Linked DNA regions of Bombyx mori. The protein of the gene in region 2 binds, or shares a complex with, the protein of the main gene of each other region. Links are inferred from orthologs where the notes say so. Each region holds a gene or a part of one and is shown on either strand. Other genes may lie near its edges.

Region 1 (5,161 bases), on a different chromosome or scaffold from region 2:
TAAAATTAATGGAATAATAAAATCATTTAAGATCGGTCACTATGCAACATTGCCTCTGGATATACTTACTGTACATAGTAATTTGGTACTGTGACTGAAACACCTAATTTTACCTGGAAAATCGGAGCTTCAGGATCTTTGTTGATTGCTACAATGGTTTTGGAGTCTTTCATGCCGGCCAAGTGCTGAATAGCACCACTGATGCCTACAGCGATGTACAAGTCCTGGAGCAGGCGTCAAAAATACACATTAATAATACACTAAAATAATTATATATATAAATAGCAATATAATACTTTTTTTTTTTAGAAAAGTATATAATCAAAACACAATTTTTTTTGGTAGGACAATAATTAAATAACATTACTTTGCTATTACCAAATAATTAATTCAATTATAATACAATATATTCAAATTCTTAAGCAGTTACATGAAATGAAGAAAGAGCAAATAATGCTCATTCATTTGTGAAAGTTTTACACACTAATCTGTCTTACAGTGTGTATTTACTACTAATATTACTATGTGTTGTATATGTTATTTAGAACAACAAAGTCTGTTGTAAATATTGCAAGATATATTTATTTCAGATTACTTTTAGATGAACGGCATCAACACACATAATGAAAGAGTATGTTGTATATACTGGAACCGCTCAAGGACAGCATTAAAGTGAACAGTTCGTTTTATTGTAAAACGACAATCTAAAACTAAATTCACAAAAGCTTTATATGACATATACATCTATGACATTTTACGACCATAAATCTACCACCTCAATTGATTTTTGTATGAAATTTGTTATATTATGAGCAAAAGAAGTTTCTTTCCAGTCGAAAAAGAAATACATTTTTTAAATAATTTGTATGCTTTTGTGTTAGGAATCATAAAGGAGTTCTATACACCCTGTATCTGTGACATTCTGATAGAGTTGTGTATTCAATGTCAAATCTAAAGTGTATGAGATTCAAAGAAAGCACACCTAATTAAATATAAATTTAATACTAACAGGAGCAACAATCTTGCCAGTCTGTCCAATCTGTAGGTCGTTGGGTACAAAGCCAGCATCGACAGCTGCACGAGAGGCACCCACGGCCGCATTCAACTTATCAGCTAGATCATACAACAACTTGAAGTTGTCACCAGACTTCAAGCCTCGTCCTGTCAAATAACAACATTACACTTTGAATAATTCTGATGTGTAATTTGAATATAATTTTGAAAAGTATCTTTTTATTATGTAGATGTGTGAGCACTCTTACAGGTCATCCACATAACAGAAATAGGCAGCATATTGGTATCTATCTATGAGGGTTTACAGTACAATAATAATGCAGTAAGATAATTGCAGTATTTTAGCAGAACCAGTAGAACCATTCGTTGCTTTTAAGACCTATAAGATAACGAGAGTTTAAATAGTGGAATTTTAGTCCTATGAATTCTACATTACATTAATTTTAAAGTTTCTATTAAATTAGACCAAGCAATTAAATTAAGCATTGATTATTTATTATTATTATTTTTTAACTATAATATCTTACCACCAGATACAATATTCTTAGCACTAGTGAGTTCTGGTCTGTCAGATTTGGTCAATTCCTGCTTTAAAAATTCAACCAGATCAGTCTTATAGTCGCCCTCAGGTGCTTTATCAATTGCTGCAGACCCTCCCTCCAATGGCTCTGCAGGGAATGCTGTGCCACGAACAGTGATGACCTTGATAGGATCTTTGGCCTCAAGGGTTAATATAGCGTTACCTAAAAATATCAATCAATTAATCATTAATTAACATTAATTTCAGTTGAACTAACAGACTGTTTTTATTACCTTCATAGGGCAATGAGCTTATGGCCCATGTGACATTTGAGTGACATTGCTGGCATTACATAAGGACGTTTGCCATTGCCCACCATAGAGAACACTCCCGAAGGCACATTTGAAAAATGAAATGTTTTAGAGCTCAAGGAATACCATGGAGGGAAGTTTGTTGAGGTTGATAAATTGTATAAAAGAGCTCTGGAAATACACTGAGCATAGAGCCAGAGGCTTTACAAAGATGTATGAATAATGAATGTAAAAATGATATATACAAAATGTACATGATCAATAGGACCTCACCAGCATAAATTGTTCTCACAAAGGTATTAGCATCCTTGATACCAATGATATCAGTTATTGGTGACACATCAAGCTTGGCCGCAACTCGTGGCAGCACCGTCTTTCCGAAAGCAGTTGCTGGTGCTAAGATATGAGTGAATTTGAACTGTTTTTGTGTAGCCAAAATCAGAGGAGTCAGGGTTTCAGCAGTAAAACCTTTAAAGACATCACTCTCAGCCACTAAAACTTTAGATATACCATTTGCCTTAGCAATGGATTCTGCAGCCTGAAAGAAGTCAAATTTAAAAGTTTTTTATTAGGAAAATGATAATAGTACAATTATAGGTAAGCTCTGCAATTAGTACTGACTGCACTGTCCCATGACATTACATTGTACTTAATATTTGATATTCTAGCAATTTTTAATATTTAAGTAACTCTACTTTAAATATGACATCCTTCACATACAATAGCTAATTACAGAACCATGGCATTCTATTACAGGATTCTGATTAAAATTGACTTGATATATATTCATATAACGAGATTACATAAGATGCCAATACTTATTATTAATTGGTTCCAAGACTAAAACCCGAAACTGTACTTATTGTTTGTTAAATTAGCTTCAAAATAAAAACATACAGGTCCACATTTGGTTCCAGCCACAAGCACTGAGACATCACCTCCAATTTTCTTGGCAGCATTCAATGTATTTTGGGTTGCTGGAGATAGTACCTCATTGTTGTGCTCGGCGAGCACTAAAGTACTTTGCAAACGACGCAGCTGAAATTAGAGTCGCTATTACAATTCAGTAATATATTAGGAAAATATATTTAAAAATGGGTCTAAATTACTTATGCACCTATTTATTTCTAAAATCCAATTGAACAATAATTATCATAACTCACATCGTGACCTCGACCCTTGAAATTAACATATAAGTTTTAAGACTAATCTCATCTAGAGGTTAATAATCTAAGTTTTAGGATCTCAATATAATAATAAAGTTTCCAACCTGTCCAGACAAAAATAAATGCCTGCTATTGGGTGCAAACATTTTGATAAGCAAGATTTTGTTCAGGAAATCTGTTTTTATTTATTAAATAATTTATTAAACTTAAATCTAGGTTACAAAGTCCAATGTTCAAAAATGACAAGAGGTTTTTATTTGATTCGTGGCTAAGACAAGCAAAGGGAACGAAGTGCATGCCATTTTGTAGGAAAAATAGAAGTCATGTTTATTAAATAAAATGTAACATTTAACGATTGTGCTGGTTGAGTTGATTAAATAATGAAATCAAATTGAATTATAATAGGTAAGATAATATAACAGCTGTGGGATGACATGAAATATATTAAACTCTCTTTAAAGCAGTAGAAATTTATTGAGATTTTATAGAACATGTTGACGTCCGCGTGGCGTTAAAGGCTTATTACACTTGGCTAAATTTACGACTGAATTCAGAAGCAAGTTAGAAACTTCTGATTACACTATTCTTAATTCAGTTACTGAATCAATTGCCAGCTTAAGCGCGACGAAGTTGGACGTGTCGTGTGTATAAGAGGATGGCCCTAGTATTGTCTAGACAACAAAAAATTGGTCTTGGCGTAGTCCTCGCTTTTCTAAATGCGTTTCTAATTAGGCTTCTTAATAATTTAGTCAGTCAGAAACCATCCTTGCTACTGAATTTAGTAGGCTAGCTTACTGAATGCTGTTACACTTCACTGAATTCAGTACCGACTAAATTCAGTCGACTAAATTTAGCCAAGTGTAATAAGCCTTTTATCCGAAAATTTAAAAAGTTACTTGAATCCGAGTTGTACTCGTGTTTTGCCGCGAGAGGTGAATGTGGCTCACTGAAGGTAAATGCAGTACACTATAACTCCTTACACAGATTTAACTCCTTACACAGATTTAACTAATTCGAAATTATGCAGACTAAAAAAATCTAATTTTGCTGAGTAGCACTATTTATTAGATAAAGCGTTGTCGTGAATCGTGATTTTAACTGTAGTCTAGTTCAGTTTCCATTGCGTGGATAACAGATATTAATAAAAACGCTTTTGATTTCACAATAAAGTTATTGATAAATTTCATAGACATATACCGTAAAATGGGGCGACTAGGGACAAATTCCAACTTTATGAGCAATTTTAAGATAGTTGTTGATGTATATAATGCTATATCAGGATCAAAATGATTGAGTCTTGGGGGCATCTTTGTTGTCTAATTTAAAATTATGCAACTAGCATTCCAGTTTAAGCAAAAAATGCAAAAATAGCTGTAATCCCTATTTACCCGAAAATTGCGGTTAATTGGGACGAAATGAGAAATTTGCTAGGGTTGGCACTACTTTCATTTTTATATATAGTTTTAATTAATTTATTTATTTAGTTGCACCAACAAAGTGATCATCAATAAAAAAAATTTAAAAACTGACAAAAGTACATGGCAGACATCACCTCAATTATAGGTGCAATCGATAGTGCTGATATTTCTATCTGGGTTAAGAGATTAGGTGTGTCGGTTATTCCATGGATTAATCAGATGAATACCCCCACTCTGAACAAATATTAAATATTTATTTTTCAAATATTAAATATATTACTTAGACATTTTTGTCCACCTTGAGATTTCATTGATCTTGTTACATGTCTCTGCAAAATCGACTTACTTATATTAAATTGCTTATCTATTTCAACTAAAGACTTATTCCCTATTTCGCTTCGAATAAACCAGATTTTTACCAACAAATTTAAAAAATATTGTTATAACTACATAGACAACCCTACAAACCTGTACCTATTTGTACTTAGGTCGTTTCCATTTCACGTATTCTCATCCCAATTGACCCCTTTGTCGTTGTTATTTGTACCTAAGACGTCCCCAATATCCCCAAAAACAACAGATTTTTACATATATTTTTATTTAATCAAATACATTAAAACCAATAACAACTGAGACTTACCTTTAATATATATGCTGGTTCAAACACTAAATAACGTTTATAAATCATAGTCGTCTTCTATTATTATCAAATAAATAAAAGAGAGCAAAGTT
Region 2 (4,717 bases):
TAAAACGAGTTATTATTTTACCACGAAAAATCCCAATTTTGACAAAATTGATTGTTAAATTAAATCCGAAGCGTACCATCACGAATCAAAGCTAATAATAGCCTAATAGTTAAACTGCACATATCATAGGAAAATGGATCACAAATCCAACCAATATCATTTGAATTATGAAGAAAAAATTAAATTTTATCGGAGAAAAAAATCCTTTAAATTTTAACGTGGTTGGAAATTGTTTTTTTAAATGTTAATACATATGTCTATATTTTTTTCTTGCCTCTTAGTTTGCACTCCACTACTTTAGGCCATTACGAGTTCGTGTGCATGCGAAATATGAATTTACATTTAGGCGTGGGCTAGTTGACAGCTAGGTCAGTCATTTGAACCGGGCATCAGGTGAGACGGTGTTCAGCTTCCCCGTCGAGCACGGTATTACTCACGATCGGTTCTCCGTCCTTTCTTGTGAAACATCGCCTACGATTGGGTCCTACGGGATGTCCTGGGCATTACTCTCCGGGGCCTCAGCGTAGCTTGCTACGCGGACGACACTTAGGTTGCGGCCAGGGGGAAGGACTTTACCGAATCTGCCAGTTGCCGCCTTTCCTGCGCAGGGATGGCCTTAGTCGTCGGCAGGATCCTTGGCCTGAAAGTGGCGCTCGGAAATCGTAGACCCGACCGCCGTCTCCCTGAGTCTTCTGTTGCCGGACGACGGGGGTCCTAACGCGATAGCGCCGCGTTTCCACAGGGTTGGTGCACTGGTAATAGCACTTTATGGAGCTCCTGTGTGGCACAACCTGACCCGTGACAACGTCGCAACGCTGCGACGTCCGAAGCTTGCGATCGATGTTAGAGCAGTGCGCGTGTACCGCACCGTCTCGTTCCAGGAGGCGGGCGTGCTCGCCTGAACTCCTCCCTAAGCATTATGCGTGATGCGACCACTCAGCCCAGGCCGAGTCGATCCTAACGCGGGTCTCCAATATCGCCGGGCCGCGGTCGAGGCGTTCGTTTAGCTCCGGCTCCTTTGAGGAGGCAGTCTCTTCCCGATGCTGGTAACGAGGCAACCTGAAGGGATCGAGGCTGCGCCGCACGCTGTTGTCACTCTTACGCGCTAGCACCAGAAGGATGGGATGACAATCGGTGGCTGCAATCCGCGATGCCATCGTCGCTGTTATTGTCGGACGTATTAAGAAAGAGCAACCTGGTTGGTGGCATATCGCATTTTGTCCCGGCATGCTGGTTTTAAGCCAGCAAGGTATCGCGGATCACTAACGACACCGCCCGGGCGGCATGACTAGCTGCCGTATCGCGAAAACGGCCGTCATTGGTCGTCGACGAAAGCCTCACTTGGGAGAAATAGCGGTGGCGACGCGAGTCTGGTTGGAGTGATCGGACATCGGGTGAAAGAGTGCAATGGGAGTTGTTTGGTAGGTAGGGCACTAAAAACATCCTTGGGCATGCAATCTGCTCACATCATCTGCAGAGCGTCAAGTCCCACATACTACGCATGTCCCCTAGGCGCGGATACCTCATATGAAGTTCGGCCTACTGACCGAAAAAAAGGGTTAGTTGAGGCTAAGGCTTACGCATTATCAGGGATGACAACTTGTCGTAGCGAAATTTGGCAACAAATACTTGCTATTTGCGATTGTCCATTTACCCAGTGGCGAAGCGATGTCATGATAATGCTAATAATAATGCTGTGCCTTTTTGCCACCTCGGCGTAGTATTACGTTAGTAACTCTTAGTATTTATGTGACAAATAAAATACTGAGAACTTTATAGTTTTTTGAAATCAAATACTGGGAGCCACTTATCAGATTGTCGCTAAGGATCTTCGAGTCTACGTTTAACTTCAGTCAAATAATAGTTAAAAATGAACCGATAATACTACTTCCTGGAATTTTAATCGTTAGTACTATTACATTTTCTATATATTGATTGTTTTTAAAGATTTGCTGTAACTCTTAGAAACTAAAAACACGAATGTGCTTTCCACATTTTAACGGTAGACTCTAAAAGTAAAACAAAGCACTACCAGCTACGCAGTATACCTGCATAAGACATCTTAACTTTGCAAAAAATATGGCTGTAGTAGTACGACCAGTACCGGTCCTCAATACATGCTATGTTTTTTTTACAATAGCTTCAATCTCCCAAGCTACCACATGTATTGGTGTTATGTGATGGAAATATGGGAGTTGAATCATAATAAACCATCCTGTTCATATTTAATTATTTCTTTATTTATTTATTTAATATATTTTGTACACACAGCTGTTAGAAGAAACACGACAATAAGGATACAGAGTACAAGGACACTACTTATTTCATGTTGAAATCTCTTCCAGTAGGCCCGCAAAAGGAATGAAGAATTAGGAACACAAATTATTTACAAACATTATGTTTCAATTACAGAATTAACCGATGAGCAGAAAGCGCTTCAGGAACTAGCGCGTAAATTCACGAAGGATGAAATCATTCCTGTGGCGGGTCAATATGATAAGACGGGGGAGTACCCGTGGCCCGTTGTAAAGAAGGCTTGGGAAGTTGGCCTAATGAACGGACACATTCCAGAACATTGCGGTAAAGTTATCTGTTATCTTTAAACAAATATTTATCCGATTCTGTTACATATTTCCGGCATAGTAGGTATGCACCATCAAAGCTGCATAATTCCGAAAAGGAAGAAAATTTTTTTTTTTAAGTATAACAAGGAACTTTTCTGTCTTAGATATTAATCTAAGGTAGAAATTATAAATTCTTGAAGCTAAGTTAAGACTGTTAGAACCGAGCGGGTTATTTTGTTTAATAAAAGTTACTATTTAATTTACTTTAACAAAACTCGCCTAAGGTGTCACGGAGCTTATTTGATCTGATCATAAATACTATAAGAAAAAAAAGCTTTGAATTGGGAATGCTTTGTATCCGCATTTTCGCGATAATATTTGCCAAAACAAATTTTTAATACTATTTAAATGTAGTGGAGTGAAAAAGAGAACCATATTGCTATGATAGTATGTTTTACACGAAGCAGATATGGGAGCCAAATGTATTTTTTTAAATACTCTATCGGCTTGATAACATTCTACTCTTTGTGAAATGGAGTTTTGATGGGAATGACGGATCGTTACCGTCTAAATAAAAACAGGCTATCCACGTAGTACTAATTCATAAAAATAAGGCGATCCATGCAGTGGAGAACAGAATCTGAAGAAATCATGTCAAAAGGTTTTATCTACTTATAATATATTCGTATTACGTGCGACCGTAATGTGGTATAATTTAGAAATTACTTATGATTTGCTGTTTATTAGAGACGCACTGGTTTTTACTTACCCGATAATTTGAAAATGAATAGAGTGGCAAAATTAAAAACACTTTTTAGGCAGCACGCGAAGTGATCAAAGCTTTTTTAAATATTAAATAAATATAGTATTTTAGATGAAAATGGCAAACGGAGCCTATAAGTTATCACTATAGGTGAATTTTGCTATAAAAATCTAGAACGTTTGTATCGCGACAAATAGGCAGAATTATCGTACCACACGTAATTAGGAGAATTTATAAATTTAACGTTCTAGGGTTAATTTTTTTGTATCAACCGTGCATCACGAGTCCGCCAATTGGCCCGACCCATTAGGCCGGAATCTGTCAAAATGTTATAATTTTAAATATGTTATATTGTGGTCCCTAAAATCGATTCCACAGGAGGTCTAGGTTTAGGAGTGTTCGAGGCCTGTATTTTGAGCGAGGAGCTGGCCTACGGATGCTCTGGTATCATGGCAGCGGTGTACATCACCGAAGTTGGTGTGAGCACGCCGCACATACTAATTGTGTTTCACTAATCCGAAAAACGTGTGTCGAGCATGATATTGTTCTTACTGTAGTCAAGTTAAAAAAAAAACAGGGGTTTGGAGGTTAACGTTATTATACTGGGATTTCTATGGTGCGGGGTATTCTCATCCATACATTTAACAAAGTTTTAAATGACTGAGGCATAAATAAAATGTATTTGAATATAAATACTGGAGGTTTTCAGGGGGCATAGGGAATTTTGGCGTCTTCGAAGAGTGCATCGTAGCGGACGAACTTGCGTTTGGATGTACTGGCATCACGACAGCTATTGGGGGCACGTCCTTAGGAGTGAGTCATACAATAGAACGCCTAAAAAAACTGTTATAAAAATGTTGGGGGGTTTTTAAATATATTTTTATTATTTCACGCGTAATCATCATGTACCTAATGTAAGCTATGCTATTTATAGTTTTATTATGCACAAAATAATATTAAAAACCTTAAATATTTGTAAGTAGTATTGGTAATGGTAATTGCTATTAAATGTCATAATTATACTGCTGTGATGTTTCTGTATATGTTATGTGCATGTCTATTTAACGTATTGATGTAGAATGAGTTTTCTAAAAACTAGCAAATGCACACTCCGATACAAATACTTAAAAAATAATGCAAATAACTAATGCGATTTTAAACTACAATATTTTAGTAGCTTTTACCAGCGGCTTCGCGTTACCGATGTTTTATGGACTTTTATTCGCTAATAGATACAAATTCAGAGCATTTGACACACTGGAACATGCTACATATCGACGCTTGAAAGGCAAACGTCACTAAGCGACAATAACTGCTTTGTACATAAATGATAGGCAATAACCATATTCGATGCGCAAAAAAAATATATTTCTAGGTCTATTAAAATCAT
Region 3 (5,512 bases), on a different chromosome or scaffold from region 2:
ACACTGCGGTATTGTGAGACGGGTTGACATTGGCTGTGTTTGAAGTGAACTAAACAAAATAAGAGCTCACATTTCAAGTGCGCTGTTATTTGACGAGACGGATTTTATGCACCGACCCGAAATCTAGTTACTATTGTTGATCGAAGCTTTAAACTAATAAATAATATTAAATTTTGAACAAAATTACCGATTTTTAGCCACCGCTACAAATGTTGTCAAGGCTCGGCCAACACATGGACAAACGTTTGTTTAACAGAACAGTAAACGCACGGAGTAGATTTGTGTTTTAATAATTTTTTAAAATTTGTTAGATGTACTTCAAAATTAGTTGGTTAAAATTGGTTAATGCTGCTTTTGTGTCTGTTTTTTGGACTCTCATTAGATACTTAGCTTTCCTTTTTTATTTTAGCTTTCCTAGCAATCACGTGTGCAGAATGGATCTCGATTGTCGCCAGAGAAACAAGAGATGACTTTTATAAGCCAGCTAAGATCTCCGCTCATTGACACTGGACATCTTTGTCTTCCGTGCTCACGGCTACTGAAACGTGGCCGAAACATTGTAATAAAAATACCGCGCTTGAAACCGTTTAAACGTTGTTTTATTATGTGCACTGGTCGCGAAAACTTAAAAATATACTATAAAAATATATATTACACAAAAACGCAACGCTAATAAAATAATAAATAATGTATAGATACTAACAAACATAAATTTCCAAAACATAAAAAGTAAACAACTAAACTTTTGCTTTTATTCATTAATAAATTATTTTAGTGTTCAACGCGACTCCCTTACCTCCTGTAGTAAACAGAAATCGAAATTTCAAGAAGCAAAAATAAATAAAACAAAACGATGTTTGTTCTCAGAGCAATAAAGGGAAAAAGTACTTTATTTGTTGTCACTTAAGGTTGATTTAACATTAAAAATTGTTTAACATATGTTTTTTTATTTGTAAGTGACAGGATTAATTTATTACTTTGCTCATTTTATGTGACGAATGATCGTAAGTATTAGATAATGTTTTGGAGATTTGTGGCTTTATTACAAAGTACCATAGTTGTAATTAGTTTGAACTTAAAACTGTTTCAAAACTTTTTTCTCCGTTTGTTAGTAAACGAATGTAGCTATAGGTGTATATTCACGCGGACAGCTTTTGCTTTAATTTTGTACGTGTCCCTTTATCTAGTTACTATTGATGATCGAAGTTTAGGAAGCATAAATAAAATACAGAAAATAAACCATAGCATATTATTTAATGTAGGTATATATAATAACAAAACGCCCACAGAAGATCATAGATCTATAGGATTAGAATTTTTGGGAAGTCGACGCATTGCTTTTATATTATTTTGCTGCACGCAACATAACGCTGTTCGGTTCTAAGATTGAGCAATTGTTTGCTAGCATTTTAAGCTTTGTATGAAGCAAGCCTTTCGGGGTGTCATTAAAATCCTGTTTCTTTTGTCAGTTTTTACATTTTTAAGAACACTGAATAATCTTTCCACTTCAGTCTTTGAAGAAGGAACTGCTAGTAAAAGTGAAACGGCAACTTCAAGGTTTTCGTAAATGAAATTACCACGATAATCTTTCATGGTTCATGAAGTACCTATATATTACAATACGAGTAGGTTCTGGTGACATAGGTAAATAAAATTTTGGCGGATTACACTTATTAGGATTCTGGGGAATTCCTAAGAAAAAAGCAGTGGTTTAGTCTATGATTTACTTTACTACAAGGTTACTAGTATAGGCTTTGCGTTTTACCCCGAAATTCCCTAAATCCTTGTATTATTCAAATTGTCTTTAACCATCCAAAATATCAACTGTTTTTCCCTAAAAAAAGGAGAATTCTCTAAAAGTGGACACACTGTGACCCAGCGAAGTTCCACAGATTATTATATATGTTAATAACGTTTTAAAGTTTTGCTCTCTTTGTTAGTAATCTGTGGATATTTTAAATTTGGACTTCGTACCTACCTGTTAGTTTGTTTTCGTTAATATTTAGTCCTTTAATTATTACGCCTTTTAGATACTAATTAAAAGAAAAATGTCTCGTGTTCTTGTTGGCGTTAAGAGAGTTATCGACTATGCTGTAAAAGTAAGTTATATGAAAGTGCAAAGGTTATTTTTTATGCACCGTTTTTATTAATAAAAGAATAATAAATAGTTAATAATTTTGAATACGTGTATATACATACATATATAACCAATAAAGACTGTAACTGTCCAATTGTATTTGGAATATAGTACCTTTGCGTTTCTAAGCTATTCTTATCTATAATCTTTCATAATAGCCTTGATTAATGACCCTTTGCCACTTGGCAATCTTTTCGACCACTTAAATTAAGATTACATTACTGATAAAATCCTTTAACTCCGAACTATACTATACTAAAATTTAAAATGACGCACTTAGTTAGATCCTAATAGACTTTTTTTAATTCAATAGTAAAGTTGATTACTTACTAAAGTTAGTATAATTAATTAATAAGTTTTTTGGCAAGTGTGTGCAATGTAATATGAAATTTAGTATCACAAAGAGGATTAATATGAATTTTATATTCAGATTCGTGTGAAGCCAGACAAGTCTGGTGTAGTCACAGATGGGGTGAAGCACTCAATGAATCCTTTTGATGAGATAGCAGTAGAGGAGGCTGTTCGAATGAAAGAAAAAAAGTTAGCAAGCGAAGTCATTGCAGTCTCTTGTGGACCATCACAAGCACAGGTATCCATTAAAAAAAATGCAGATTGGTTAAATGTTCATGTTAAACTAATAAAATTATAATTCATTTTAAATAAAATTTCATTTAAAAAGAACAATTTATTCTAATCGGTCTTTTTAACACTAATGACTTCAATTTCTTATAAAAATAATAAATTAATTTAAGAATAAATTTCATCTATTAGTAGTAAAAGAATTGTTTATAGTCTCATTATAATTTTTTTACATACTTTTTGAGGCTAAAGCTTGTTTATTTTATTATAAAGGAAACTCTCAGAACTGCTCTTGCGATGGGTGCAGATCGAGCTATTCATGTTGAAGTGGCTGGGGCTGAATATGACACATTACAGCCCATTCATGTTGCAAAAATCTTAGCAAAACTGTCACAAGATGAGAAGGCAGACTTAGTTATTGTTGGCAAACAGGTAACAACAATTAAAAATGCATATATTTTTTTATGTCATTGTGTCATAAATACCTAAAACTTTCTTTTTAATTTTTAAGGCCATAGATGATGACTCCAACCAGACAGCACAGATGACTGCTGCTTTATTAGATTGGCCACAAGGAACATTTGCATCAAAGGTAATTTTTATAATTTGTAAATAGAACTAATGAATTAAGTTATAATTCGTTTTCAATAATAACCAATTATTACAAGTTTTTATTCAGTGATTAAAAAAAACAACCCATCAATTTTGTTTAAAATGATGCTCTTTTCTTCTTTAATGCAAGAAGTCATAAGTTCAATATTGGGATTACCGAATTATCTAACATCTTCAATTTAAGTGAACATAAATACATTCAACTGTACCACCGGTGTGCTGTATTGGCCGCCTGTAAGCAATGTATTGACAATTTTAATGACATATGCATAATTATCCTAGCCAAACCTTCAATTACAATAAACAGTAACAAATTCATCTTTATTGTAGATAGAAAAGACTGATGGTGCTCTAACTATAACCCGTGAAATTGATGGAGGTTTAGAGGTTATCAAGACAAAAATCCCAGCTGTACTGAGTGCTGATCTGCGACTGAATGAACCACGATATGCTACACTGCCTAACATCATGGTAAATACAACTCTAAAGTTATATACTAATATGGAAATTAGAAGAACATACACTGATACACTGCAGATAAAGAACCCCAAGTTCCATATTAAGCTGTGCCTGATAAATTGTTGTTGTTTTGGATGTATAGATTTCCATTGAGAATTGAAAAGGATGAACTATTCTTGATAAGTTGATTAATGCCTCATACAATTTAAACTTTCAATACAACGATTGCTAACTATTCTTGATAAGTTGAACAACTTCAAATATAATATTTTCAATAAAAATCATAATATTTTCAATAAAAATCATAATATTTTCATTTAGTTCTCAGCACACCATTTTTATCACATAAAAAATTTAATTTATTAATTGTAACATGGTTGTTATCAATATTGTAATTGATTCATGATAAATTTTTTGAATACATGGAATATATACAGTCTCTATTTTAGTTGGGAAGGATCCTCATCTACCGTAATTTATATTTGTTTTAGAAAGCAAAGAAGAAGCCTCTCAAAAAAGTAAGTGCCAAAGACCTTGGGGTGGACCTGGCACCTCGTATCAAGGTGGTCTCTGTGGAAGATCCTCCAGTCCGACAGGCTGGCTCCATCATACCTGATGTCGACACTCTCGTTGCTAAGCTTAAGGAAGGCGGACATGTGTAATCGTAAATCGAACTTTTAATTTATCAATAGTGAAAAATCATAGGGAACATTTTTATATTAAATGTTTATAGAATCATGTTTTATGTATATTGTTAATGTAATTATTGACATTGTTTACTTTTTTGTCTTTTAATTAAAAACTCCCATTTCATCGTTAAGAAATTCAGAATTAAATATTTCACATTTGGGTTAATTATATATTAATAGGCTTTTCTAACGAAACAAATCATTTGCTGGTGGTAGGACCTCTTGTGAGTCCGCACAAGTATCACTGCCTTGGCTATTTCTGCCGTGAAGCAGTAATGCGTTTCGGTTTGAAGGTTGAGGCAGCTGTCGTAATTATACTGAGACCTTACATCTCTTATCTCAAGGTGAATGGCGGTATTAACATTGTAGATTGAAGGGCTTCGGTAACCACTTTACACTTGGTGGGCCGTGAACTCGTCCACCCATCATTTTTTTTATTTTTTATTTATTGCTTAGATGGGTGGACGAGCTCACACCCCACCTGGTGTTGTGGTTGCTGGAGCCCACAGACATCTACAAAATAAATGCGCCACCAACCTTGAGATAAGTTCTAAGGTCTATGTATAATTACAACGGCTACCCCACCCTTCAAACCGATTCGCATTACTGCTTCACGGCAGAAATAGGCAGGGTGGTGGAACCTACCCGTGCGGACTCACAAGTGGTCCTACTACCAGTTAATTTAAATTTTTCCAATATCATAACTAGATGGTGTTATCAAATGTATTGGTAAAGAATAGAAACATACCTACCTATTATATAAATTATTTATCCTTCGACGTTTACTTTCGTAATCAGGCTTAATTATACTCACAAGTCTCGGTTGGGGGAGGAGGAAGAGGAAGCCTACATATTTTAAAGTACAAAGTGCTGTAAAAATGTGTCTTTGGCACGAATCGACTTTCGGTAATAAACTTTTCACTGGCACTTTATATTTTCTAATCAAAAGAAAAATTTATTAAAGCTACTGGATTAAAAATATAAACAGTATGATTTCCGAAATTGTATTTAAGTATCTATTTTAATACAAATCTTC

What was found. The genes of interacting proteins can lie anywhere in the genome.
Region 1: the proteins of medium-chain specific acyl-CoA dehydrogenase, mitochondrial (region 2) and electron transfer flavoprotein subunit alpha, mitochondrial are in contact, whole or in part, in a crystal structure (PDB 2A1T), measured with the Homo sapiens proteins. The link is inferred for Bombyx mori from reciprocal best matches to the Homo sapiens genes ACADM and ETFA. Residues at the interface, in NP_000007.1 of Homo sapiens: Pro163, Lys173, Pro211, Gln232, Arg235, Glu237, Val251, Glu253; in NP_000117.1 of Homo sapiens: Arg223, Lys226, Arg249, Asp253, Ala283, Ile284, Gln285, Glu304.
Region 3: the proteins of medium-chain specific acyl-CoA dehydrogenase, mitochondrial (region 2) and electron-transfer-flavoprotein beta polypeptide are in contact, whole or in part, in a crystal structure (PDB 2A1T), measured with the Homo sapiens proteins. The link is inferred for Bombyx mori from reciprocal best matches to the Homo sapiens genes ACADM and ETFB. Residues at the interface, in NP_000007.1 of Homo sapiens: Glu43, Gln44, Lys46, Glu47, Phe48, Thr51, Lys54, Phe55, Glu58, Glu59, Arg80, Glu83, Leu84, Gly85, Leu86, Leu98, Leu100, Ile108; in NP_001976.1 of Homo sapiens: Glu73, Arg76, Thr77, Tyr192, Ala193, Thr194, Leu195, Pro196, Ile198, Met199, Lys202.

What each region holds. Positions count from the first base shown.
Region 1 is NC_085111.1:13,689,195-13,694,355, reverse strand, and holds the start of electron transfer flavoprotein subunit alpha, mitochondrial, read right to left. Parts: upstream 3,533-5,161; 5' UTR 3,158-3,532; coding exon 3,116-3,157; intron 2,884-3,115; coding exon 2,743-2,883; intron 2,384-2,742; coding exon 2,119-2,383; intron 1,758-2,118; coding exon 1,542-1,757; intron 1,162-1,541; coding exon 1,010-1,161; intron 225-1,009; coding exon 114-224; intron 1-113. UniProt on the Homo sapiens protein: Heterodimeric electron transfer flavoprotein that accepts electrons from several mitochondrial dehydrogenases, including acyl-CoA dehydrogenases, glutaryl-CoA and sarcosine dehydrogenase.
Region 2 is NC_085107.1:11,198,287-11,203,003, forward strand, and holds part of medium-chain specific acyl-CoA dehydrogenase, mitochondrial, read left to right. Parts: intron 1-2,412; coding exon 2,413-2,580; intron 2,581-3,705; coding exon of another isoform or gene 3,706-3,806; intron 3,807-4,036; coding exon 4,037-4,140; intron 4,141-4,717. UniProt on the Homo sapiens protein: Medium-chain specific acyl-CoA dehydrogenase is one of the acyl-CoA dehydrogenases that catalyze the first step of mitochondrial fatty acid beta-oxidation, an aerobic process breaking down fatty acids into acetyl-CoA and allowing the production of energy from fats.
Region 3 is NC_085131.1:3,928,051-3,933,562, forward strand, and holds electron-transfer-flavoprotein beta polypeptide, read left to right. Parts: upstream 1-1,980; 5' UTR 1,981-2,048; coding exon 2,049-2,099; intron 2,100-2,567; coding exon 2,568-2,726; intron 2,727-2,989; coding exon 2,990-3,148; intron 3,149-3,227; coding exon 3,228-3,308; intron 3,309-3,658; coding exon 3,659-3,799; intron 3,800-4,278; coding exon 4,279-4,449; 3' UTR 4,450-4,552; downstream 4,553-5,512. Other genes in the region: DDB1- and CUL4-associated factor 10, read right to left, coding at 5,498-5,512. UniProt on the Homo sapiens protein: Heterodimeric electron transfer flavoprotein that accepts electrons from several mitochondrial dehydrogenases, including acyl-CoA dehydrogenases, glutaryl-CoA and sarcosine dehydrogenase.